Linked DNA regions of Macaca mulatta. The protein of the gene in region 2 purifies or fractionates together with the protein of the main gene of each other region. This does not show direct contact. Links are inferred from orthologs where the notes say so. Each region holds a gene or a part of one and is shown on either strand. Other genes may lie near its edges.

Region 1 (4,194 bases), on a different chromosome or scaffold from region 2:
AGCTGGAATTACAGGCGCCCGCCACCATGCCCGGCTAATTTTTGTATTTTTAGTAGAGACGGGGTTTTGCCATGTGGGCCAGGCTGGGCTCGAACTCCTGACCTCAGGTGATCCGCCCTCCATGGCCTCCCAAAGTGCTGGGATTACAGGCATGTCACCGTGCCCAGCCAGATCTTTAATTTATAATCAATCTTGTCTGGGCACTGTGGCTCACATGTGTAATCCCAGGACTTTTGAAGGCCAAGGTGGGAGGATACCCTGAGATCAGGAGTTCAAGACCAACCTGGCCCACACGGCAACACCCCATCTCTACTTAAAATACAAAATTTAGCTGGGCGTGGTGGCGGGTGCCTGTAATCCCAGCTACTAGGAAGGCTGAAGCAGGAGACTTTGACCCCGGGAGGCGGAGGTTGCAGTGAGCTGAGACTGTGTCACTGCACTCCAGCCTGGGCAACAAAGCAACACTCCGCCTCAAAAATAAAAAATAATTTCTCACTGCTACATGTATTTCTCATACAATTGTTTAAACTGTGATATAATCAACATGCTATAAACTCTACCCTTTTAAAATGTACAATTCAGTAGTTTTTAGTATATTCAGAGTTGTGCAACCATCATCATTGATTTTAGAAGATTTCTTATTTTTTGTTTTCTATTTTTTATTTTTTTTTTAGAGACAAGGTCTCACTATGTTGCCCAGGCTGGTCTCAAACTCCTGAACTCAAGCAATCCTCTGGCCTCGGCCACCCAAAGTGCTGGGATTGATTACAGGTGAGAGCCATCTCACCAGGCCCTGATTTTAGAACATTTCATCATCCCAAAAAGCATATTCTCACCTACACCGCCAGTCCCCCAACCTCTGGCAACCATTAAGCTTTCTGTCTCTAGATTTACCTACTCTGGCCATTTTATATAAATGGAATGACACAATATGCAGTCTTTCTGACTGACTTTGCTCACGTAGTGTGATGTTTTCAAGGTTCATTCATATTGTAACACGTATCAGTAGTTCATTCCTTTCTATGGCCAAATATTCCATTGTATGAATATATTAACACCATATTTTGTTTATTGATGCATCAGTCGTTATGTCCTTACAACATTCCTGTATTCGAATAAAGAACCAGGGCTGTGAGAGGTTCACTCTTTTATTATAACCCAAATAAAATGACATTTGGGGCCGAGCGCAGTGGCTCATGCCTGTAATCCCAACACTTCGGGAGGCCGAGGAACGGGGGAAAGGGGGATCACCTGAAGTCAGGAGTTCAAGACCATCCTGGCCAACATGGCGAAACCCCTCTCTGCTAAAAATACAAAGATTATACGGGCGTGGTGGCGGGCGCGGTGGCGGGCGCAGTGGCGGGCGCCTGTAATCCTAGCTACTCAGGAGGCTAAGGCGGGAGAATCGCTTAAACACGGGAGGCGGAGGTTGCACTGAGCCGAGATGGTGCCACTGCACTCCAGCCTGGGCAACAGAGCAAGACTCCATCTAACAAAAAATAAATAAATAACATTTCCACTTTTTGGCGATTATGAATAATGATGCTAGAAACAAGGGTGGACAAGCTTTATGTGAACATATGTTTTCAGTTTTCTTGGGTATATAGCCAAGAGTGGGCTTCCTGGGTGTTATACTAATTCTAATGCTTAATGTTTTGAGGAACTACCAAACTATTTTCCACCATTTTACATCCCCACCAGCAATGTACGGGAATTTCACTATTACATTTTCAACAAATGAGGGTAATTCTTGAACGAATAGAGAGGTGTGCCGCCACCGTAGAACGGCAACCCACTACCCAGAAGACTGCATTAAGAAAGCAGAAGTGTATGTCCGGCGGGAAAACAGAATAAAATGTTACAGGTCCAAGCGTATTAGGCAAGTGAGTTAACCTCGTAGAGCCCCGGTTCCTTATTCGAAAAAATAAAAAAAGCGGGCGGGGGGCGGGGGCTGCTGTAATGCCACTTTACCTTGCAGTCGCCGTGAAAATTAAATCAGTCAATCCGCGTAAAGGTGCTTTACAACACTGATTATTCACGATTCGATCTCAGGCAAGGCATTAGGGGCAAACGCTAAATGCCCAGAACCTCCCCCTCGCAAAGGTTCCTTCCCCTCGGGAGGGTCACTGAGCGACATCGGGGGCTGCAGTCACTTCCCTTCCCGGGGAGAGCCGGACTGCCAGTCACGCAGGATAAACTGCTAGAGCTGGAGCAGCAGATCCGTGCCACCCCTACCCAGCATTGCTCCCAGCAGAGAGATCTGCAGCCTGCTGCCAAGCTTAGTAAGCCCGCGCAGGATCTTTCTTTTTTAAATGGTAATAAACGTATTTTTTGCGGTCGACGCAGAAAAGGAGGGGCAAAGGGAACACAAGCATATCCCCCAACCTCTGATCCCAGTCTCGGTCTCTCCAACATCCCCCCTCCCCGACCCTCCTCCACATAAGGAAAACAAATATGAAACCCGATCCTTTACGAATCCCAGCCCCAAGGGCCCTCACCTCCCCGCAAGGACAGAGGGTGCAAAGCTTACCTGGTGGCTTCCTCCGGCTCGACCAGGCTCTGGCCAGGCGCCTCCAGAGGAATAGTAGCCATCGCCTCCTCCGCCTTCTCCCAGCCAGGTGGTCTCCGCTGGGCCGCCCCCGCGCACCCGCCAGGAAATGGGAGGCTGGGGAGGTTCGGGGCGAAGAGGATATAAGGGTGGAGGTGGGTGCACCGGCACATCTCCACCCCCAGGCCCGTAGTAGCGGCCGTAGTGCGGACCGTCACTGGGGCCGTAGCCCGAGCGCCTCAGGGCCGACATGGGCTCTCCTGCCCTGAAGCGCTTCCCGCCCCCCGCCCCACGGCCGACCCTTCGCGCAGGCGCCCGCGGGCGATTGCGAATGGAGAGCAGCGAAGGGGGTCGGACGACGCCAGCCAATCCCAGGCCCGGTCCCGCCCCTTCTGCTGCCGAGCCCCGAGAGCTGAGGGACGGAGGTCCGTGACTCTGGGGTCTCGGGAACCCGGGGACGAGGGAAGACACCGTGTTCCTTAAGAGGGAGTATACGTTTCTTCGCCATCTATCCAATGGAGATGCCTCTTCCCTACTTAACAGGAACAGGGAAAGGGTGTCCCCCAACCGTACGGCTGCCCCTCCTCTTCCTGGGGGCCCGCACGTGTTACAGGAAGTGGGTGGGGGTAATATGGAGGAGCTTCCGGCAGGCCCCGGCGGCTGAAAGCCGGGGCAGAAGTGCTGGTCTCGGTCGGGATTCCGGGCTCGGTCCCGCCGAGGCGGCGACTGCGGTAGGAGGGAGGAGGTTTTGGACGCGCTGGCCCCCCGCCGCTGTGCATTGCAGCGTTATTTCAGTTCAAAATGAACTATATGCCCGGCACCGCCAGCCTCATCGAGGACATTGACAGTGAGTAGTTCATCTCCTCCCGGTGGAGCCTGGGGTGAGACCCTCCCGGGCGGGCGCCTCTTCCGAAGAAGCTTGTAGAATGAGTCCCGGGCGGGGCCGGTGTGTTCTGAGCTCAATCCGGGCGTTCCGCGTCGATGTCCTCCACAGCTGCGGTACACACCGCTTGCCCACCCAGTAGCCTGCTACTTGTTCTGCCCCTCGCAGCCTCCGCCAGCCCTCTGGCTGGTGAGCCCCAAGCGATGGAACTCATTCGTACTTTCGTGGGTCGCGGCAGCAGAGGCCCGAACACGAAAGAAGCCCGGGGGGGGGCTTCTCCCCCGTCCCCTCCTGCCTGCAGTATTTCGAAGTATCAGCGTGTTACCGGTGGATGGATCGGAATACCTAGAGAAAGGATTCATTAAAAAGCAAAAATATTAAGACAGCAGCAGTTGGACTTGATTGGCAGTAAACGTAGGCGCTCTACGGTGTGGCTATTTGCTAGCTTATTTTACTGTGAGGGTCATTAGCACCTTCAGGTTATTGTAGTAGAGACCACTGTTAGACATGGTATTGACTTTTCTGGAAAATCACTTGCAACCTTTTTTTTTTTTTAAGACAATTCATTTTTGCTTTTACTAAGAAGACCTCCTTTATTCCTAGTTTTTGTCCGGAAGAGGAGCTCAGTCCTATACAAAAGCGGAAAGAACCGCCTGCAGTTGTCCGGGCTTTCATTTTTTCTAAATTCTATCTGTGTATTATTCCTCAAGCAACATTTTTTATTGTTTTAATCACGTGATCTTTCTCATTAACTTACTGTTTC
Region 2 (3,500 bases):
TCACACATAATTAGGTAGACAGCAATAGAAGACACTAAAATGAGAAGCAGAAACCCTGTCCAGGAAGCATGTTTAGATCAACAAAAGCCAATCATTCTTTATGCTAAAAACTAAGACCAAACTAAAACAAGTATGTAATTCACAAGTAATTTTCTAGAATTTCAGCTAGAAAAAAATAATCTATGGACTTATGATTGAGTTACCATTAAAGCTTAAATGATTGTTCCCAAGGAACCATCATATCTGTCAGCATTATTCACAGCTAATCCTTATGCTAGCTGGTTGAGCCAATTGGGTTTTTACCCCATCATTAAATAGTGCTCATAAAAAGTAAGCAGTGCATCTTAATTGGTTAAATACTACAAAATGACCTGTATCATAGAAACAAAGACACTTTCATTCAAAGAATATCTTAAAATTACTATTGCTGAAATAAATCAAAATCTACATTAAAATATTACTAAACACCATTACATGCTATAAAAGAATAAATAGAAATCATGGCAGATCAATAGCAGCATAACAAAGCTTCTTTACATATTTTCACACTTTGGGCTGGGAAAGTACTCACAGCCTAGGAATACATTGGTAGAGTTTGGAATCACATTTTCTTTTAACTCCATAATTCTACAACAAAATAAGGGCAGTGTGAATAACAGCTCCCTTTTCTGCATAGCTTTAAAACTATTCTCAGTACACTCAAGGAAAGGAACCAGGATGGCTTTGTCAGATTGGTCCACAGGTCCTTTTGTCAAAGTGTTAAGGAAAACAATCAACAATGACAGAAAAGGAAAATAAGGCTGTGCTTCACACACAAACTTAGCATTTTCAGAACCATTGGAGAGTTCAACCTAAAATGAAGATCTGATAGGATGTGGGCATTCCCAGTTTCAGCCTTCCTTCAAAGGTGTGACGTGCCTGTGTCCACACCACCAGAGCCTGACAGTGCCCTATTCAAACGGTAATGCTGCACTGGGGGCCTGCTGCGGGGCAGGACTGGGGCACTTAAAAACAAAACACTATTAAGAAATTTCACAACTTTTAAGGCCCAAATGGGGCATTCATATAAAATACATTTCACTTGAGGAAATCATTCCCAATTTGCCGGCTTAAATTCTGGTCCTAAAAGCTCGAAGCTACTTTGCAGAGTTGCCTTCTACTCTGTTTAGAACTTGACTGTCAGCCCAAAGCCTGTTTCTATGGGGTAGGCTGGGGCAAGCGGTGGGGGCCAGGCTGAACTTCTGCTGTGAGGCTGGTGACTACTCCTCTGTAAGTCCTTGAAAGTGAAAGCGAGCTGAGAATCAGATTCCTTATTCCACAGCCTTGCTCCTAGCTGATGAAAACACCCACATAACTTAACACAATGATTTTGTTTTTTGTCAAAACAAAGGTCTGCTGGTGATGCTTCACAGTGAAACCTCCATTATCACTGAGAATGTCACTTGGAAAACATTCTTAAGAAATGAGTCTCTTTCTCATAGGCTCAATTTCAGGATTCTCAAACTCGATGTTCTGCTCAGAAGTTTCCATGATGAAGCCTATTTGTCTCTGAGGTTAGCACTCGGCCTTTAGACTTACTCTGCTCCAGTCATAGGTTGTGGTTGTCTTTGTTCTTGGTCAGCACCTGCAAGTAGACTTCATGAAGTGTACTGAGGAAGCTGGAATCATTCTAGAAGAGATGGGAAAGGTTAAGGATACGAATGCCACATTTACCTCAACAGATTTTACTTCCTTGGTAACAGCTTAGGAAAAAAAATTGTATAAATGATTTGTATAACTGATAATCCCACCATCCAGAGACAATCATGATTAATATATTGAGTTCGCGCAGATATTTCTCCACCAGGACGGTATGCTTGAAAAAAGAGAAACAGTACTCCCAGTCTGTTTTTTTTTTTTTGCCCACCCCAGTCTCCCAAAGTGCTGGGATTACAGGTGTGAGCCACTTTGCCCGGCCTCCAGCTAGTCTTTTGAATTTACTTTATGAACTGATTCTGTAGGAGGAATGTATACAATTTCTTTTATTAAGTAATGAAAAATCAAAGATAAAATTGGTATCCTACATACCTTTATGAGATGTATTAACGTATCCTGGAGCTGAGACTTGCTGAGAATAATGGAAGGCTTTCTCTGACTTTCTGGCGTTCCAATAGTTAGAGGAGAAGGAGAGCTGGCTTTCCTCTCAAGATCTGAAGACCTTGTAACTGTCTGCTGGAAAACACTTGGGGCCAGCAGGACTGAAGACACTGCAGTAGTCGTTGCAGTAACCAGTGGGGCGCCTGCAACCTGGAGAGGAACAATGGTCATTTTGTACCAAAGTGCAGAAGCCAGTAGCCAGGCCCAGAATAAGGAGCATGTGGAAACAGGCACAAGCAGCAGAAGAGTGAAGCCCAGAGACAGACTGTTTCGGGTTCAGGTAAACATTCAGTAGGAGCATTTGAACATCTAGCATATGGTTATAAACTTCCGTGAGCTAAGGGATGACGAGCCCATTTATATAAGAACGTCCTAGAATCGTTACGGGAAGCCAAGTCCAACTGCCACAGAAGGTAAGAGAAATAACGGTATAGAATGCACAGTAAGAAAAATCCTATGATAAATTCAAAATGTAAAGGCTTTTTGGGAGGGGAGTTGGGGAAATGACTGGAAGAGGACATGAGGGAACTTTCTGGAGTGACAGAATGTTACATATTGATTGGGTTGCCTAAGGGATAATACATACATGTGTCAAAAACTCATTTAAAAATCTGTGTTGTTTGGCTGGGCGCAGTGGCTCATGCCTGTAATCCCAGCACTTTGGGAGGCCGAGGTGGGGTTCGAGACCAGCCTGGGCAACATGGTGAAACCCCATCTGTACTAAAAATACAAAAATTAGCCGGGCGTGGTGGTGCACGCCTGTAATCCCAGCTACTCGGGAGGCTGAGGCATGAGAATCGCTTGAACCCAGGAGGTGGAGGTTGCAGTGAGCCAAGACTGTACCCATTGCACTCCAGCCTGGGTGACAGAGCAAGACTCTGTCTCCAAAAAAAGAAAAAGAAAAAAAAGAAAAAAAAAAATCTGCATTTTTTTTTTTTTTTTTTTAAGGCAGGGTCTCACTCTGTCACCCAGGTGGGAGTGCAGTGGTGCAGTCACCACTCACTGCAGCTTCAATTTCCTGGGCTCAAGCAATCCTCCCCTCATTTTTGATTTTTTTGTAAGAGATGAGGTCTCACTATGTTGTCCAGGCTGGTCTTGAACTCCTGGGCTTAAGTGATCCTTCCACCTAGGCCTCCCAAAGTGCTGGGATTACAGGTGTGAACCACCATGCCTGGACTCTAAAAATCTGCATTTCAGTGTATGTAAATCATACTGCAATAAAAAAGAATTTAAAAATCCAGTTATGACTGGGAGCGGTGGCTCATGCCTGTAATCCTAGCACTTTGGGAGGCCTATCTGGGAGGATCACTTGAGGTCAGGAGTTCAAGACCAGCCTGGCCAACATGGTGAAACCCCGTCTCTAC
Region 3 (4,080 bases), on a different chromosome or scaffold from region 2:
TCCCTCCCTTTGGGGGAGGGCCCGGCCTCCTCCGCTCCCACTTTCTTGAGTTCTTGAGTCTTGCCCTTCGACGGCAGGAGAAGAGGGTTGCGCCCTATCAACTCCTCACTTTACAGTCCAGCTTCTCCCCCCACCACTCCGGTGAGCTACCCCTGCTCCATGCGTTCCGGAGTAATCCCCCTCAGTCGCACTCTCACAGCCCGGCCCCTGCCCCCACCTCATCCCCAGCTGTGCCTTCACCTCCCGGTTCCTCCCCAACAGGTCCCCCAAGATACGCCCTCACAGTCCGGTCCCCCGCCGTCCTCTCCCGGCGCACGCTCAAGCCCGGTGCCTTCCCCCCGCGGCCCCCCGAGGCGCACCCTCAAGCTCGGTGCCTTTGCCCCACCCGGCCCCACAGGGGCGCCCTCAAGCCTAGTACACTTCACATGAGAGCCCCTGGGGCGCACCCTCAAGCTCGGTGTACCCCCCCATACAACCCGCAGGCGCGCCCTCTTGCCTGGAGCCTTCCCCCGCCCAGGCACACCCTCAAGCCCGGTGCCTGCCCCCACCCCCAACCAGCCCCCCAGGCGCACTTTCAAGCCCGGAGCCTTCCCCTAGCCAGGCGCGCCCTACTGGCCCGCCCTGCCCCTCCGCGAAGCGCCCCCCGCGCGCTCCCTGGAGTCCTCCCTCCTGCCTGTCGCGGCCTCCAGGCCCGGTCGGCCCCCCTTCCGGCCCCCACACTCAGACGCGTGCCCCGCGTCTCCGGGCCGCTAGTCCCGCGCCTTCCTGGATGGACGCGGCCCCTTACGCCCGGCATCAGCCTCCCCGGCTAGCACGAGAAGTCAGGTCAGCTTCCTGTCCCCAAGCAGCTGCCCGGGGGCCAGTTTTCAAAACATAGCCTTAGACATGTAATAAAGAGATGCTCCTCTGGTCTCAACTCCCTATTTTTACTTTGGAGGGGCGAAGGCAGGGCTACCCTTGCCAGCCACCATTCCCCAATCACTTCGCAGCTGTGGAAAAGCAGCCGTCCTGTCCCTTCAGAAAGGAACTCATATTTCCCCCTCGAACTTTTCTCGTCGGTGTGAGAGAAGGGCCCTCCATTTTCTCCTCAGGAGGCTTTTGCGGCCCGGCTTCCTCTCACCACCAGGCCGGGAAGGCAGTGACGCCGCGGCGGATGTAGCCGCGGCGGCCGAGGTTTCGCCATCTTGAGTGGAGGAGGAGCCGCGGTCGCCGCCATGCGGAGAGGCAGGGAAAGAGGGAGGAGGCGGCGGGCAGGCGAACGGGCGAGCGAGGGAGGGGACAGAGGAGCCGAGTTAGCTCAGCCCGGCGGCGACTTCGGCGGCGCCACGAGAGCGGGCAGCGGAGGAGGTAGGGCTGGACGGCCGGGGGAGCCGGCGGCGCGGGCGGCTGGGCTGCGCGCCCCTCGGAGCCGGGTGGGGGCGGGGGCGGGAGGAGGCCGTAGCGAGGGGGCCGAGTGGGGGCGGGCGGAGGTTTCCGAGGAGGAAGGAGCGGCCGCCATTTTGGGAGCTTCGAGTCAACAATAAAGGACCGAGGGTGCCGAGCGGGAGTGGCCTCCTTGGTAGGACACGGGCCCGAGCCGCGAGGCCTGGGGTGAGGTGGTGGGGTCGAGGTCAGCGGCGCTGTGGGGGCTGCGGGGAGTCTCCCGGGCCGGCTCTGGGGGACTCTCTTGGGCGGAGGCCTAAGGCCTGGCCGGGCCTGGGGAGGAAGGCGGGCGGCAGCTGTGTGGGGTGGGGGCGCCTGAGAGGAGGCGAATATAGGAATGTGGTGCGCGGCAGGGTCGGCAGGAGGAGCAGGCTAAGTACTCGGAGGAGCTTTATCGAAGATGAGGGAATATGAGGCCGAAGGGGGCGGCAAGGACTTAGGGGGATGATGGTGGAGGTTATAGGGTACGAGGCGGCCCTATAGGGGGCGGCAGGGACATGCTGTATTGGAAGGCTCGGTTTAGAAGCGAACTGACCGCTGCTTGATTGCGGTAGGCCTTGCAGGTCAATAACAAGAGGGTGTATATGGAGCCCCAGACTCTTGGAGGAAAGGAGGGGGATTTCTGGGTTGGGGGGTCCCTTTGGGGCCTTCTTGGGGGAGTCCCTATTGTTTGCTACTGATGGAGCTGGTTGCCGGTTCATATTGCGCAGATAGGATTGCAGAGCCCAACCTTTTGTGTTTATGGTCAGAGGGAGCTGACTTGACGTGTGTGTGTTTGGGGCGAGGGGCAGCAGGGGGGAGGGCAAGAAATTTCCCTACAATTGTGGGGCTCCAGTCATTGACTTGTCTCTTTCCCTTATCTCTTTCTTTTCCCTTCCACAGCCCCCCTTTCCCTTCAGAATAAAACCCAGTCACTCCAACTTGCAGGCAAAGCTTAGAAAAACTGCGCTGCATTTGCAAACAAAAGCTCTTGTTGGCGATGACGATACTGTTTTGGGTGTGAAACTGTCAATTGCTAACTATGATCTGAGAAGTGCTGTAATTAACTCCGCTAGGGGCTCCTCCCAACTAGTCTACGTTTCTAGTCTGTTTCTCGTTTTTTTGTGTTTTGTTTTGTTTTGAAAATGGAGAAAGATAACTTGAAAATATAAATTGGGAAGGAATAGGAGGAATATTTCCTTCTCTGAGACAAAGCTGCAGTGCAGGTTTCAGTTTAAGGGAGCAGTTATCACATAGTCTCATTTTGGATTTAAGGATATAGGTCTTACTGTGCATGATGGACAGTAATGATGATATCGTTCGGTCTTTAGAGGTTGCCCTTTTCATCCTCTTAGTGCTCTGCAAACAGCTAAGTCTCTGTGTGAACTGCGTGATGTCGCTGATCATAATATAAACCCGTCAATACAGGAAAGTAGCTGTTAACCATATCTGCTTAAGATGTCAGAAGGACTTTAAAGTAAACAACTTTGTGTATGTGATAATCAGGATTTGCTTGTGAGCAACTTGTTCTTTTTTTTTTTTTTTTTAAGGAAGGCATAATCAAGGAGCATTTTCTCATAAATTTTGAGATCTGTTGACTTTAAAATTTTGAGTTTCACATGCCTTGGTGTATGGCAGAAAGAATCAGCACTCGTAAGCTGTGTATTTTATGTAAGAAATGTGACGGGGTTGCTGGGTGCGGTGGCTCACGCATGTAATCCCAGCACCTTGGAGGCCAACCAAGGCAGGCGGATCAGCTGAGGTCAGGAGTTCGATACTAGCCTGGCCAACATGGCAAAACCCCGTCTCTCCTAAATATACAAAAAATTTAGCTGCGCGTGGTGGCGGGCGCCTGTAATCCCAGCTACTCTGGAAGCTGAGACAGGAGAATCGCTTGAACGCAGTAGGCGGCGGTTGCAGTGAGCCGAGATAGTGCCACTGCACTCCAACCTGCGTGACAGAGCGAGACTCCGCCTCAAAAACAAAAACAAAAAAGCCATGTAACGGGGTTAAATCAAAAGCCAACAGAGTAGGGCTTTGTTTTCGGGTCTTTGTATGTTTTTATTAACTACAATTAAGATTTCAGCCGGGCACGGTGGCTCTCGCCTGTAATCCTAGCACTTTGGAAGGCTAAAGCGGGCAGATATTTGAGGTCAGGAGTCTTGAGACCAGCCTGGCCAACTTGATAACACCCCGTCTCTACTGAAAAATACAAAAGTTAGCCGGACTGTAATCCCACCCAGCTACTTGGGAAGCTAAGGCATGAGGATCGCTTGAACCCACGAGGTGGAGGTTGCAGTCAGCTGAGATCGGGCCACTGCACTCCACCCTGGGCAACATGTCTCAAAAGTAATAATAATAAATAAGAGTGGCTGGGGGGGTGGCTCACGCCTCTAATCCCAGCACTTTGGGAGGCCGAGGTGGGCGGATCACCTGAGGTCAGTTGTTCAAGACCAGCCTGGCCAACATGTCCAAACTACGTCTTTACTAAAAATACAAAAATTAGCTGGGCATGGTAGCGCATGCCTGTAATCCCCAGCTACTCAGGAGGCTGAGGCAGGAGAATCACTTGAACCCGGGAGGTGGAGGTCGCAGTGAGCTAAGAGCGTGCCATTGCACTCCAGCCCGGGCGACAGTGCAAAACTCTGTCTCAAAAAATAAAATGAAAAATAAAAGTAA
Region 4 (4,033 bases), on a different chromosome or scaffold from region 2:
TGTTGTGTTTAAGTTTGCCCACAGCCATAGAAAAGAACAAAATTATGTTCTTCGTAGCAATACATATGTAGTTGGGGGCCATTACCCTAAACGAATTAATGCAGAAACAGAAAAACAAATATCACAAGTTCTCACTCGTAAGTGAATTTGGGAGCTAAACATTGGGTACAACATGGATATAAAATGGGGAACAACAACAGACACTAGGCACTACTAGAAGGGGAGGGGACCTATTGGGTACTATGCTCACTACCTGGAATGGGATCATTCATACTCCAAACCTCAGCATTACGAAATATACCCATGTAACAAACCTGCTCAAGTACCTCCTGGATAAATAAAATAAGAGCTGCAATTACAAAAACTTTAATTGGGCAGGGTGGCTCACGCCTGTAATCCCAGCACTTTGGGAGGTCAAGGCAAGTGGATCGCTTGAGCTCACGGAGTTCGAGACCAGCCTGGGCAACATAGCAAAACCCCATGTCTACTACAAATATAAAAATAAGCCCGGCGTGGTAGCACGTGCCTTGGGAGGCTGGCTGAGGCGGGATCCCTTGAGCCTGGGATGGGGAGGCTGCAGTGAGCAGAGATCCATCGTGCCACTCCATTCCAGCCTGGAGTGCGATAGAGACAGACCCTGTCTCAAGAAAAAAAACAAAAAAAACTTGACTTTTCCCTTGACTTTTAAGTTCACTCTTGTTTGCCACTAAAAATGCAGTTAATCACCACTGCTAGTTACCAGTATGCAACGTGAACCAGTTCTAAAATGTCAAACAAAAAAAATCTGAAATAACCCAAGCCGACCTTTCTACAACTTTAAGTTAGACTAATGAGCTCTCTTCCAAATATCAGTGCCAGAAACAATGTTTGCTGTGTACCCCCCACTTCCTGGTTTAGTAACTGTTTCAAGAACGCTGCTTCACTGATCTTAATCTTTCCTAACTTAGGTGGGCCTTATAGGAGTCTTGACCAGATGGAAAATCATAACGTAATCCACTAGATCACTGCACTACCAACGCTTGTAACACGGTAGTAAGCACGACACGACACGAAAGTAGAGCACAACTTTCCACGTCTGTAGGTTCACTGCCAGAGCTCCCTGGTTAGTAGCTGTTCTAGAAAACAGGCCAGGAAACAAGCACAAAAGCTTTTAGGTAATCACGGATATTTCAAAAGTCGTGTAATTTTAAAAGGTGGGAGACATTGAGAAGATAGGTTAAACACGGTGGGCAAATTTAGTAATTTTTTCCCAAGGGCACAGACAAACTGCAAATCTCTAATTCAATGCAACATTCTTCACTAAATAGCGGGAACTTTTTCATTTCATTATTTCGAAAAGAGTCACTGAACTTAAGTCCATCAAACGTTATTTTGACAAGACTTTGAAATCATTTCGTAGACTTAATCCCATTTAAACTTCTATCCATTTTATTCTAATCCAATAGCACTGCAATCAGCAGTCGCTAACTCTTCTGAAAACTTCTTCTGGACACACTAACACGAAGTACACAGTGGCAACGGTAATAAAATCAGTTTTGTGCGGCTCCTGCCAACTCCGAACTTAGAAGAAACCATTAAGTAGGTCAAGCCCGCGGCGGGCAGAGCCCCAGCTGGACTGCGCGTCCCACACGGGGCACCTCATATTTCGGCACAACTCCAAACGAAACCGAGCTGCTCAGAGCCCACTCCACCCCCCACGGCGGGACGTCAGAATCCGTCTCCGCGTTTCACCGATTAGGACTGGGGCTCTCGACAGCCGGGAGGCCGATAGCGGGGCCCCGTCCTTCCCTGGCCGCCCACACCCGGCCTCGCCTCCTTCATGGGCGCCGTAGCGCCGGGCACGTAGCGCGCGCTGACGTCAGCCCTCCCGGGGGCCCCGTCCCTGCCCCCACACCGCCGCGCGCCCGGAACGCCGAAACCCCCTGGAACGCCGCCAGCCTTCTAAATCGGGGCTGTTGCTGGGGCGCAGCGGCGCTTCTCATTGGCCGACTCCTGGGAGCCAATCAGAAGCACCAGCGCATGCCTCCCCTTCCCCCTTCTTCCCCCAAAGCAAGAATGGAGAGGGCGTCACGGAAACTTCCCTCCCGAGTAAACAGCCGCCCCCCCACCCCGCCCCCACCCGTCCGACCCCCCCGGTGCAGGACCTGCAGCCCCAGAGCTCAGCCGCGACCGTCTAAGGGCCCGACTCCCCAAAGGCCCGCTGGCAGCCCTTACTTCTTTCCTGAGCGGGGTTTGGCCGGGAGCCGCGGGCCGCAACGGGGCAAGGTCGGGGCTGGCTCCCTCCGTGCGGGTTGCGGCTGCAGGACTCGGGGCCAAGGCGGCGGCCGGGCCCGGAACCTCCTGCGCTGCTCCGCTCGGGCCGGTCGCCGGGCTCCGGCCGCCCTCCAGACTCGGCCGGTGCTGCTGGTACTGGTGGAAGCGGCTGGGCAGCTGCCCTGCGGGGCTGGCCCGCACCTTCTTCTTTCGCCGCTTCTTCGGCGCTGCCCGAGGGGTGCCTCCCGCCACGGCGAGGCTGCGGTTGGGCAGAGCTGCTGGAGCGCGAGGCTGCGGAGTCAGACACGGGCCATCTCCCCCTAAGAAGTGAGGGAGGAAGAGGGTCGGGGGCAGTGCCCGGGGGTCCGGGATCCGGGGTAAAGGAGGCGGAGCCGTGGTCACCATCGGGAGGGCCCCGAAGTAACCGCGGGAGGAAAAGCCAAGCGGCGCAAGGCGGCCACCCAGGACGAGCGGCTCCCGCTGCGGGACGGAGACGACGGTCATAGCGCTAGGAAGCTTGTCGCTCAGCAACGAGGAGAGAAGGAGGTGAAGCCAGTGAAAATAGGGTGACGGCGATGGATGCTGCTAGGAGAGCCAGAGAAGATCGCGGAACATGACTCGGGCGGTGGCGGCGCAGCAACAAATAGCCACAGCCCCAGCTCCGAGTGTTGTTATCGGAAGCTCCGCCCCGCGCCCGCCCACTTCCCTGCGAAAGCCCAATCAGAGTGCGACAAGGCAGGCCACGCCCCCTCGCTCCGCCTCCGCCGCTTTGGGTAGACACACACAAACAACCAGCTTGCTGCAGCCTGGCACAAAGAGCGCGCACTGCGCAGGCGCTGCCAGGGAGCTCTTTCGGGAAGAGTCGGTCCCGGGAACAATGAAATTGGGTTTCCGCCCCACCCTCCTTACCCTCCCCAGCACGCCCCCGCGCTTCGCCCGGCTAGGGAGTGGTGGGATTGAAAGGTCCCGGCGGAGTTTGTTGATGGGGGTGGGGAAGGGAGGGGGCAGGGGGAGGGCGGCAGGAAGAACGGGGGCGGAGAAGAGGGGGACGACTCTGGCAAGGCCACGGTTGCCGCCTCCGCTGCTGACCTTGGGGAAGTATCCGTTTTATTTTCAGCCCAACATAACAGCGTTATCATTTTAAAATAAAGATTTCTAAGTACGCCGTAAGGATTTCTTCCCTAGCAATCGTGGAGAAAATCAGTCTACATTTAAATTATATCTACTGAAGTGTGGCTCACGATTCTTTCGTTTACTTGGTTCGGCATCGCTGCTTATTAGTCCCGGTGATCAGAGTAAAAATCAAAGCGACTTACTGATTGAATTAGTCCCTCAATGTATAAAAAGTTCTGCGTAAATCCATAAATGGAAGCTGGAGTTTTTACTGACTTCATAGTTGAAGGATTGTGAGACTTTGGGATCGCAACATTGTGCCTGGTTACTTGAGGAGGCGGCAATCCGGCTTGCATCTCAAAGGGAGAAAGTGAAACAGTTCTGCAATATACAGAGTATTTTGTTAGCTGCGTGTAGATAGAAATTTCTCATGATCTCCCCGCACTGCTCAACCACAGAAAAGAATTGTGGCCATAATTTATCAAGCATTTATGTTCCAGGAACTGTTATTTACATAAATTGTCTCACTTTAACCTCACAACAACTCTTATGAATAGGTACTAAGAAAAATAGATCAGACCTCAGCTCTGCGAAGTAGGCAGGCTGTCATTCTATTCATTTCACTACTAATGCCTGGGGCAATTGTTTAAAGGCATTTTGTTCCTGT
Region 5 (2,743 bases), on a different chromosome or scaffold from region 2:
GCCCGCACTCACCGAGGGGCAGCAACAGCAACGGCCTCAGGGCACGGGGTGGTTGCCAGCAGCAGCGGCAGCGGCAGTGGCAGCGGCGCATCGTCCCTGGCTGAGAGCCTAGTGCCAGAGCTAGCAGCTTGGAGCGCAGCCCGTCCGCCCAGCCCCCGGAGGGAGGGACGGTGATTGGATGGAAGCCGGGGGTGGGGCTCCGAACCCAGCCGGCGGCTCCACCTCCAACACCCAAATGGGAAAAGGAGCGAGAAGGGACCTCAGAGAGCAGAAATTCCCAGGAGCACAGGCTGGTGCTGAGCAGGCCCCTGGACCCTCACCCCATAAAAGGAGGGAGAAGGGAGATCTGGGAAGGCAGTTGGAGCAGATGAGTGGGTAACCCCGCCCCTTGGCTGGGTTGGCCTAGACAGAGCTCCACAGGGAAGAGAGGGGCAGGGAAGGAACAGAGGGCAGTTATGAGAGTCACACCAAAGACAAGCCAAAAGCACACACATACTCCATTTTATTCCAAAAGCATTTAATTGAATTTCTCAACATTTTTCAAAAACAAAAAGATCCAAATTAGAGGTAAAAAGGAACATGGAAAATTCCACTCAAGTGGTGTCACGATCTCAGGGTCATGCTCCAGGCATGGCAGAACCCAAGCAGGCACAATACCTGCCCTGGGCCCAGCCTAAACCTTCTGACTACCACACCCTGTAGACCACGGCCAGTGCTCCCTGCTCCCTGACCCCCAAACACCCCAGAGATGGGGGCCTGAGCAGGTAAAGGCCAGCCGTGACCCTGCCTCGGCCTAGGCCTGTCTGATGGCCTTCAGTGCCATCCCACCCCTGGGCAAGGCAGGCTTAGCAGCTAAGGGAGGCTGGGGGTCACAAGACCATGCAGCATGAGGCTGAGACGCCGGGCTGCTTTGCCAAGTGAGTTGTGTGGCTCAGCCTGCAGGAACTGAAAAAGCTTTTGGCGCACCTGGGCCATAACGGAGCCCATGTGGTCCCGAGTGATAGGGTCACTGTGGTCCAGATGCATCACGGCCTCTTCCAGGTAGCTGGGGATGGGGGAAAGGACAGGCTACAGGTGGGCACCAGCAGATGGGAGCGCCCCCTGGTGGCACTGAAGCCCAGAGGAAACCCTCTGGGTGAGGGCAGAGAGGATTGGTGGAGAAAATTAGGGAGAGGATTCAGGCAGAAGTGGGTGTCAGATTCAAACTGCTCGCTCCTACTCCCCCACTCCCCAGTTCATCTCCCCATTCCTGGCTGCCCCCACTTACCTGAGCTTGAGGTCAGTTCGAGTGCCAAGGTCAGATGCCAGCTGCTGGATGAGGGAAAGGAGCACAGGCTGAGAGAGTGGGCAGGGTGGCTGCCCAAAAACCTGGGCTGGGTCTACAGTTTCACACACATACAGCACCAGGTTCAGGTCAGCAGCTGTCAGTGCCTGGAGGAGAAAAAAAGAGCAGTGTTTATAGCAAATATCAGGATGGAATGTCTGTTTATCTGAACTGTGTGGCCTGAGGGAGGAAGACAACGGGGTGCGCTAGTGAGGGCTCCAGAGGGACTCAGAGAGAGCCCCGCAGAGTTGTATAGTTACCCTAGGGGATTGGGAAATGGTTCCTGAGAAGGGTAGTTGTAAAGCAAGGTGGGCTAGGTGGGAAGAAGGGGGTCCAGGAAGAGGAAGCAGCAGGGACAATGGCCTCGAGGCCAAAGGGAACCAAGAACAGTCTGCTGGGACCAGAAGGTGCAAAGCTGGTGGGTGGAATGTATGGTGTGTGGGCCTTGTCAAGAGACACGTGACCCTTACCAGGGCCTAACACCTATCATACCTGCTGGAAGGCCTGATTGAGGTGGCCCTGCTGCAGCAGCTGCAGGATATGGGCTTGCTGGGCCTGGCAGTCAAGGTGGGCAGAGGGGACAGGTGTGCCAGCAGCTGAGCGCATGGCCTGCATGATGCTGGAGGTGACGGCGGCCTGCTGCTCCTTGAGCGCCACACTCACCTCACCCTTAACGATGCGCTGTACCTGTGCTAAAATGGACTCCTGAAGGCTGCAAAGGGAAGTGAGTGAGGTGAAGTGAACAGGGAGCCCAATCTGGCCTTTCTCAAGCCCACCACCTTGCCCAGTACTCTGCCCACACACCTGCCTACAGCCACATGCAGCTGGTGCTGCACCTCAGCCCGAACACTGCTGGCCACGGTGGCTGCCATCTGCTCAGTGGCACTCTGCAGTGTGCTGACCAGGCCCCGCAGCTGGGCCAGCACAGGCTCCCTGGCCTCCTGTTCCCGTGCCTTCCGGCTCTTCATGTGGCTTTCTAGCTGCTGCAAGTCTGAGGGGTGACCACAGGGACTATAAGAGGAACAGAAGGAAAGAGGATAACCGCTCCCACCTTGGGCCATATGACCCCACTCACATTCCTGTGTCCCCAGTCGGAAGCTATCATTGATTTGCTGGAACATGGCCTGGCAGCTCTTCTCAAAGGCCGGCAGCACCACACTCTGGAAGGCTTCCCGGTAGGCTGCCTGCATCGGCCCCTGTAATGTGTCTGCAGCTGCTCGGGCGATGGCATCAGTCAAGTTCTGGGGTTAGAAGAGGGGGCCAAGTTGAAAACCTGAGCCTGCTGGGCGCAGTGGCTCACACCTGTAATCCTAGCACTTTGGGAGGCCGAGGCGGGCGGATCATGAGATCAGGAGATCGAGATCACCCTGGCCAACATGGTGAAATCCTGTCTCCACTAAAAATACAAAAATTAGCTGG
Region 6 (4,230 bases), on a different chromosome or scaffold from region 2:
TGATAACTTTCTTCCGCTTTCCCTTGAATTATATACATAGACTTCCTTGCCCCCAAACTCCGGTCTTCCCCTTGTGATGCAAAGGGATGCCACTCCCATTCCCCACTAACAAATCCAAATTACAGGTAACAGGTGGGTGGGGCATCTGGGTCAATTAAAAGTAGCACAGGACAAACCATCTGATGTCATCAGAACTCTAGTGAGCTCAACTGCAATGTTTACCTCCAGGGGAGCGTTTTAATGCTCTCCTTTTGTACAGCCCAGTGTGTTCAGGTGCACGGAAAAAAATCAATTGTTTCAACTGAAAGAGAAGGACATGCGCCACACTTAATCCCAAACGGAATGCCAGAAACAAAAGTAGAACTAAAGGCTGCCCCAGGTTTGCTGTTTTATGCTGGCCACAGTTAAAAGGATTCACAAGAAAATGATTACCTTTGACACCAGCCAACCCCTCTATCCGCGCTGTCACGCTCATGGCTCACTGCTCCACAGAGATCTTTACCCTGAGTCTCCCCGACAGGCTGGACGTCAGATTACAGACAGCCTATACAGTCGACTCACACATGGATCTAGGTTTCCTTTATGTTTAAAAGGAACAAAAATCCAACTGCCACCCCCATTTCACAGCTGCGGAAGCAGAAAGGTCTACAGGGCATAAAAACTACAAGGAGGCGGGGCCTCCGCAGGTCCTGCTCCCTTCTTCAAGGGACCTCTCCTCTCTCCCTCCCCACCTTCACAAAATGTAAACAAAACTGAAAAAACCACCCATACGTGCACACCTGTTCTCCTCACACCCAACTTTCTATTTTAAGGAATATGGGGTTAGAATGAGTCAAATGTTTCTTGCTTCCATTAGGGGCTAAAAGGAAGCCCAAGTGGGTGGTCTACCCACGGGAATGACTCAGCCGACTACCAAGTAAGCCCCCCTCATGCAAGGACAGGGTCTGAGCTCACTCAGGATGAGCAAGGAGTGGTTCTCCCAGCTTTGAAACACCAGCACATGCCAAGGGACACCTGTGCCAAGGTGAGCCTCGGAGTTACTCCCTGTCAGGAAAATAAACCTGAGCGAGGGGTCAGGCACAAAGCAACCCTAAAGTGAAAGCAACCTGAGATCCAGAGGATGATGAGGACATGCCCCTGGAGCCCGGTGCAACCCGCGCCCCCCCAGCCCCTCTCCCACCCCAGGCAGGCAGCACCCAGGACCAGGAAATGCATGCCTGATACTTCTCCCAACCCAAGCCCCCATTTAAACACCTAAGTAACCTTCTCTAAACATCCACATCATTAAAAATGAGTTTCCAACGTGGCAGACGCATTTATGTAAACCCATTACTGCTGTCTTATTGGAGGAACAAAACTCAAACCCAACTTTTCCAAGGCAAGAGTTGTGGAGTTATGTAACAGGTCGGTTTCAGCAACAGGCGATGCAAGAAAAAATAAAATACAAACTGCTTCCTGAATGATCTTAATAGCCAGCCAATGTGTGCTCCTCTATGGGAGGCAAAAATTCTTCCCTGCCTCAATCTTCCGCTGACCAGCGCCCTTATGCTTGGGAAAATTCGAACCTACGGCTCCGTGACTGTGGAAGGGGGGATGCCCAGATGGCTGTGACCACAGATGGGAGGTGGGACAGTGCGGCCGGACCCCCCACTGGGGAGACGGGGCAGAATCCCCGGACCAGGCCAGAGACAGGGTTAGGGCAGGTCACCCTGGATACTCCCGGAAGGGGACTGAGGGAAGTCACTCAAGATCCGGCCTGAGCAAGACCCGGCCCAGGCCGTAGGGGAACTCGGGGCAGAAAACCGAGACCTGAGAAAGAGGGACCAGGGCAGGTCACCCTAGCCCGGATGGAGTGGAAGAACTCAGACCAGGGCAGGTTACTCCAGGCCAGGCTGGTTGTGGGACACAAGGCAGGTCAGCCCGGGCCCAGGCGGAGGAGCAAACCCAGCCGGAGTAAAGGAAGAGGGTCAGGTTAGCTCGGACCCGAACGGAGTGGAGGACTCGAGGCAAGTCGGCCCAGCCCAGGAGTTGGGGGCCGAAGGAACTCAGCCAGGTCCAGGCCGGAGCGGGAGACCCGGGGCAGATCAGGCCAGGCCCGGGCAGAGTGCAGGACCTGGGGCAGGTAAGCTCAGGCCCAGCCGGAGTAGGGGACCCGGGGCAGGTCGCCCCAGGCCCGGCCGCGACGGGGGACTCCGGGCAAACCCAGGCCCGGCCCGAGACGGGCTAGGGACAGGTCTCAGGCGCCGAGACAAGGCCCGGGCTTCCGGCGCCGCCATGTGCCGCTCACCTGCGCGTCGAGCTGTCCCGCCGCGGCGCCCGCGCCCGCGCCGCCTGGGCCTCCCGCGCCGCCACCGCCCGGGCCGCCGGGGCCGCCGGGGGGCGTCTGCGTCTGGCTAGGAAGAGTAAAGTCGGTGAACTCGAACTCGGAGCCCTGTGTATCGGCGCCGAGCAGCTCGGCCTCCTCCGTGTCCAGGAAAGTGAGAGTCTGAGAGCTGGGCCCGTACGCCTCCACGCTCATGGTGCTGCCGGGTAGGGCCCTCGGGCCGGCTCCGCGCCGCACTCGAGCCCGCCGCCGCGCTGAGGCCTAGGCCGCAGGCCTCGGCTCGCTGCCGCTGTCGTCCCCGTACGCCTGGAAAGGACCGAACCGCCCTCCCCGGCGCCAGCCGAACCGAGATGTAAGAGCGCCGAGCCGCCGCCGCTGCCGCCGAGCCCCTCCGCGCCTCAGTTCCCCTCGAAGCCGCCCGCCGCTCGCAGCCCCGGGCAGGAACTGCCGCCACCGCCGCCGTCGCCGTGCGCGTGCGCGAGCCCGACGCCGGCGGAAGCGCGCGCGCTCTTCGCGGACGCCGGGTGCCCAGCGGGACGACGGGACGCTCAACGCGCACGCGCAGGGGGTGAGGCTTTCAACCGCCGTCGCGGCTGCCCCTCGAGGACTTGGTCCCGCCCCAACTGCTAATCGGGGACTCCCGGGCGGCGGGTGGTGTGGACCTGGTGGTCTGCACCTGTGGTCGCTGCGACAGTGTTTCGGTTTAATTAAGCGCTAGCCGAATAGCCTACGTAGGTGATCTCGAAATGCCCAACTGGAGAGGCTGGGCAGGGACGACGCGCTCCCACTCCTGGCAAAAGCTGCTTGGAACTCAGTTTCCCCATCTGTAAAATGGGGGGTGCCTCGCACATAGTAGATGCTCCCTGTGCATTGGTTTAATAAGGGGGTGGGGCTCGGCGCGGTGGTCACACCTGTAATCCCAAACACTCGGAGGCTGAGGCGGGAGAACGGCTTGAACTCAGGAGTTCGAGACCAGCCTGGGAAACAGAGTGAGACTCCATCTCTACAAAAAATACAAAACTTAGGCCGGGCGCGGTGGCTCACGCCTGTAATCCCAGCACTTTGGGAGGCCGAGGCGGGCGGATCGCGAGGTCAGGAACTCGAGACCATCCTGGCTAACACGGTGAATCCCCGTCTCGACTAAAAATACAAAAAATTAGCCAGGCGTGGTGGCACGAGCCTGTAGTCCCAGCTACTTGGGAGGTTGAGGCAGGAGAATCGCTTGAACCTAGGAGGCGGAGCTTGCAGTGAGCCAAGATTGTGCCACTGCACTCCAGCCTGGGCGACAGAGTGAGACTCCGTCTCAAAAAATAAAAAAAAAAATTAGCTAAAAAAAATTAGCTAAGTGTGGTGGTTCTCACCACTGCACTCCAGGCTGGGTGACAGAGCGAGACCCTGTCTCAAAAATAAGTAAAAATAAATGAATGGGGATAGTCTTAGGTACTGGGCCTGACACTTGGAAATGATGGTTGCTGCTGTTCCTGATGCCTCTGCCGCTGTCATTATACAATTACTATTTTTGCTATGATTATTATTTAGTGGACATATACAGCAAAACAACAGGAAGCACATGGTGTGTGGTGGAATCTAGAGCTAACCACTTATCAGCTGTGTGAAATTATACAAGTGAGGTAGGCCAGGCGCGGTTTCTCAAGCCTGTAATCCCAGCACTTTGGGAGGCCGAGGCGGGCGGATCACCAAGTCAGGAGACTGAGAGCATCCTGGCTAACACGGTGAAACCCGGTCTCTACTAAAAATACAAAAAATTAGCTGGGCTGGTGGCGGGTGCCTGTATTCCCAGCTACTGGGGAGGCTGAGGCAGGAGAATGGCATGAACTCGGGAGATGGAGCTTTCAGTGAGCCGAGATCGCACCACTACACTCCAGACTGGGCAACAGAGCGAGACC

What was found.
Region 1: the proteins of DCP1A (region 2) and BAG4 purify together in Homo sapiens (affinity purification with mass spectrometry; 4 studies listed by BioGRID and IntAct, counting the BioPlex papers as one, with this or other methods). This does not show direct contact. The link is inferred for Macaca mulatta from reciprocal best matches to the Homo sapiens genes DCP1A and BAG4.
Region 3: the proteins of DCP1A (region 2) and DDX6 purify together in Homo sapiens (affinity purification with mass spectrometry; 8 studies listed by BioGRID and IntAct, counting the BioPlex papers as one, with this or other methods). This does not show direct contact. The link is inferred for Macaca mulatta from reciprocal best matches to the Homo sapiens genes DCP1A and DDX6.
Region 4: the proteins of DCP1A (region 2) and PNRC1 purify together in Homo sapiens (affinity purification with mass spectrometry; 3 studies listed by BioGRID and IntAct, with this or other methods). This does not show direct contact. The link is inferred for Macaca mulatta from reciprocal best matches to the Homo sapiens genes DCP1A and PNRC1.
Region 5: the proteins of DCP1A (region 2) and EDC4 purify together in Homo sapiens (co-immunoprecipitation; 9 studies listed by BioGRID and IntAct, with this or other methods). This does not show direct contact. The link is inferred for Macaca mulatta from reciprocal best matches to the Homo sapiens genes DCP1A and EDC4.
Region 6: the proteins of DCP1A (region 2) and UPF1 purify together in Homo sapiens (co-immunoprecipitation; 4 studies listed by BioGRID and IntAct, with this or other methods). This does not show direct contact. The link is inferred for Macaca mulatta from reciprocal best matches to the Homo sapiens genes DCP1A and UPF1.

The regions. Positions count from the first base shown.
Region 1 is NC_133413.1:40,115,730-40,119,923, reverse strand, and holds the start of BAG4 (BAG family molecular chaperone regulator 4), read right to left. Parts: upstream 2,801-4,194; coding exon 2,531-2,800; intron 1-2,530. Other genes in the region: U6 snRNA-associated Sm-like protein LSm1, read left to right, coding at 2,799-2,973. UniProt on the Homo sapiens protein: Inhibits the chaperone activity of HSP70/HSC70 by promoting substrate release. Prevents constitutive TNFRSF1A signaling. Negative regulator of PRKN translocation to damaged mitochondria.
Region 2 is NC_133407.1:116,872,377-116,875,876, forward strand, and holds part of DCP1A (mRNA-decapping enzyme 1A), read right to left. Parts: intron 2,287-3,500; coding exon 2,068-2,286; intron 1,670-2,067; coding exon 1,589-1,669; 3' UTR 1-1,588. UniProt on the Homo sapiens protein: Necessary for the degradation of mRNAs, both in normal mRNA turnover and in nonsense-mediated mRNA decay. Removes the 7-methyl guanine cap structure from mRNA molecules, yielding a 5'-phosphorylated mRNA fragment and 7m-GDP.
Region 3 is NC_133419.1:119,470,672-119,474,751, reverse strand, and holds the start of DDX6 (putative ATP-dependent RNA helicase DDX6), read left to right. Parts: upstream 1-1,280; 5' UTR 1,281-1,347; intron 1,348-1,502; exon of another isoform or gene 1,503-1,590; intron 1,591-4,080.
Region 4 is NC_133409.1:96,904,720-96,908,752, forward strand, and holds the start of PNRC1 (proline-rich nuclear receptor coactivator 1), read right to left. Parts: upstream 2,801-4,033; 5' UTR 2,758-2,800; coding exon 2,215-2,757; intron 1-2,214. UniProt on the Homo sapiens protein: Nuclear receptor coactivator. May play a role in signal transduction.
Region 5 is NC_133425.1:63,458,635-63,461,377, reverse strand, and holds the end of EDC4 (enhancer of mRNA-decapping protein 4), read right to left. Parts: intron 2,566-2,743; coding exon 2,400-2,565; intron 2,316-2,399; coding exon 2,129-2,315; intron 2,037-2,128; coding exon 1,817-2,036; exon of another isoform or gene 1,784-1,816; intron 1,491-1,783; exon of another isoform or gene 1,432-1,490; coding exon 1,268-1,431; intron 1,046-1,267; coding exon 853-1,045; 3' UTR 501-852; downstream 1-500. Other genes in the region: NRN1L (neuritin-like protein), read right to left, coding at 1-91. UniProt on the Homo sapiens protein: In the process of mRNA degradation, seems to play a role in mRNA decapping. Component of a complex containing DCP2 and DCP1A which functions in decapping of ARE-containing mRNAs. Promotes complex formation between DCP1A and DCP2.
Region 6 is NC_133424.1:19,389,249-19,393,478, reverse strand, and holds the start of UPF1 (regulator of nonsense transcripts 1), read right to left. Parts: upstream 2,801-4,230; 5' UTR 2,519-2,800; coding exon 2,288-2,518; intron 1-2,287. UniProt on the Homo sapiens protein: RNA-dependent helicase required for nonsense-mediated decay (NMD) of aberrant mRNAs containing premature stop codons and modulates the expression level of normal mRNAs.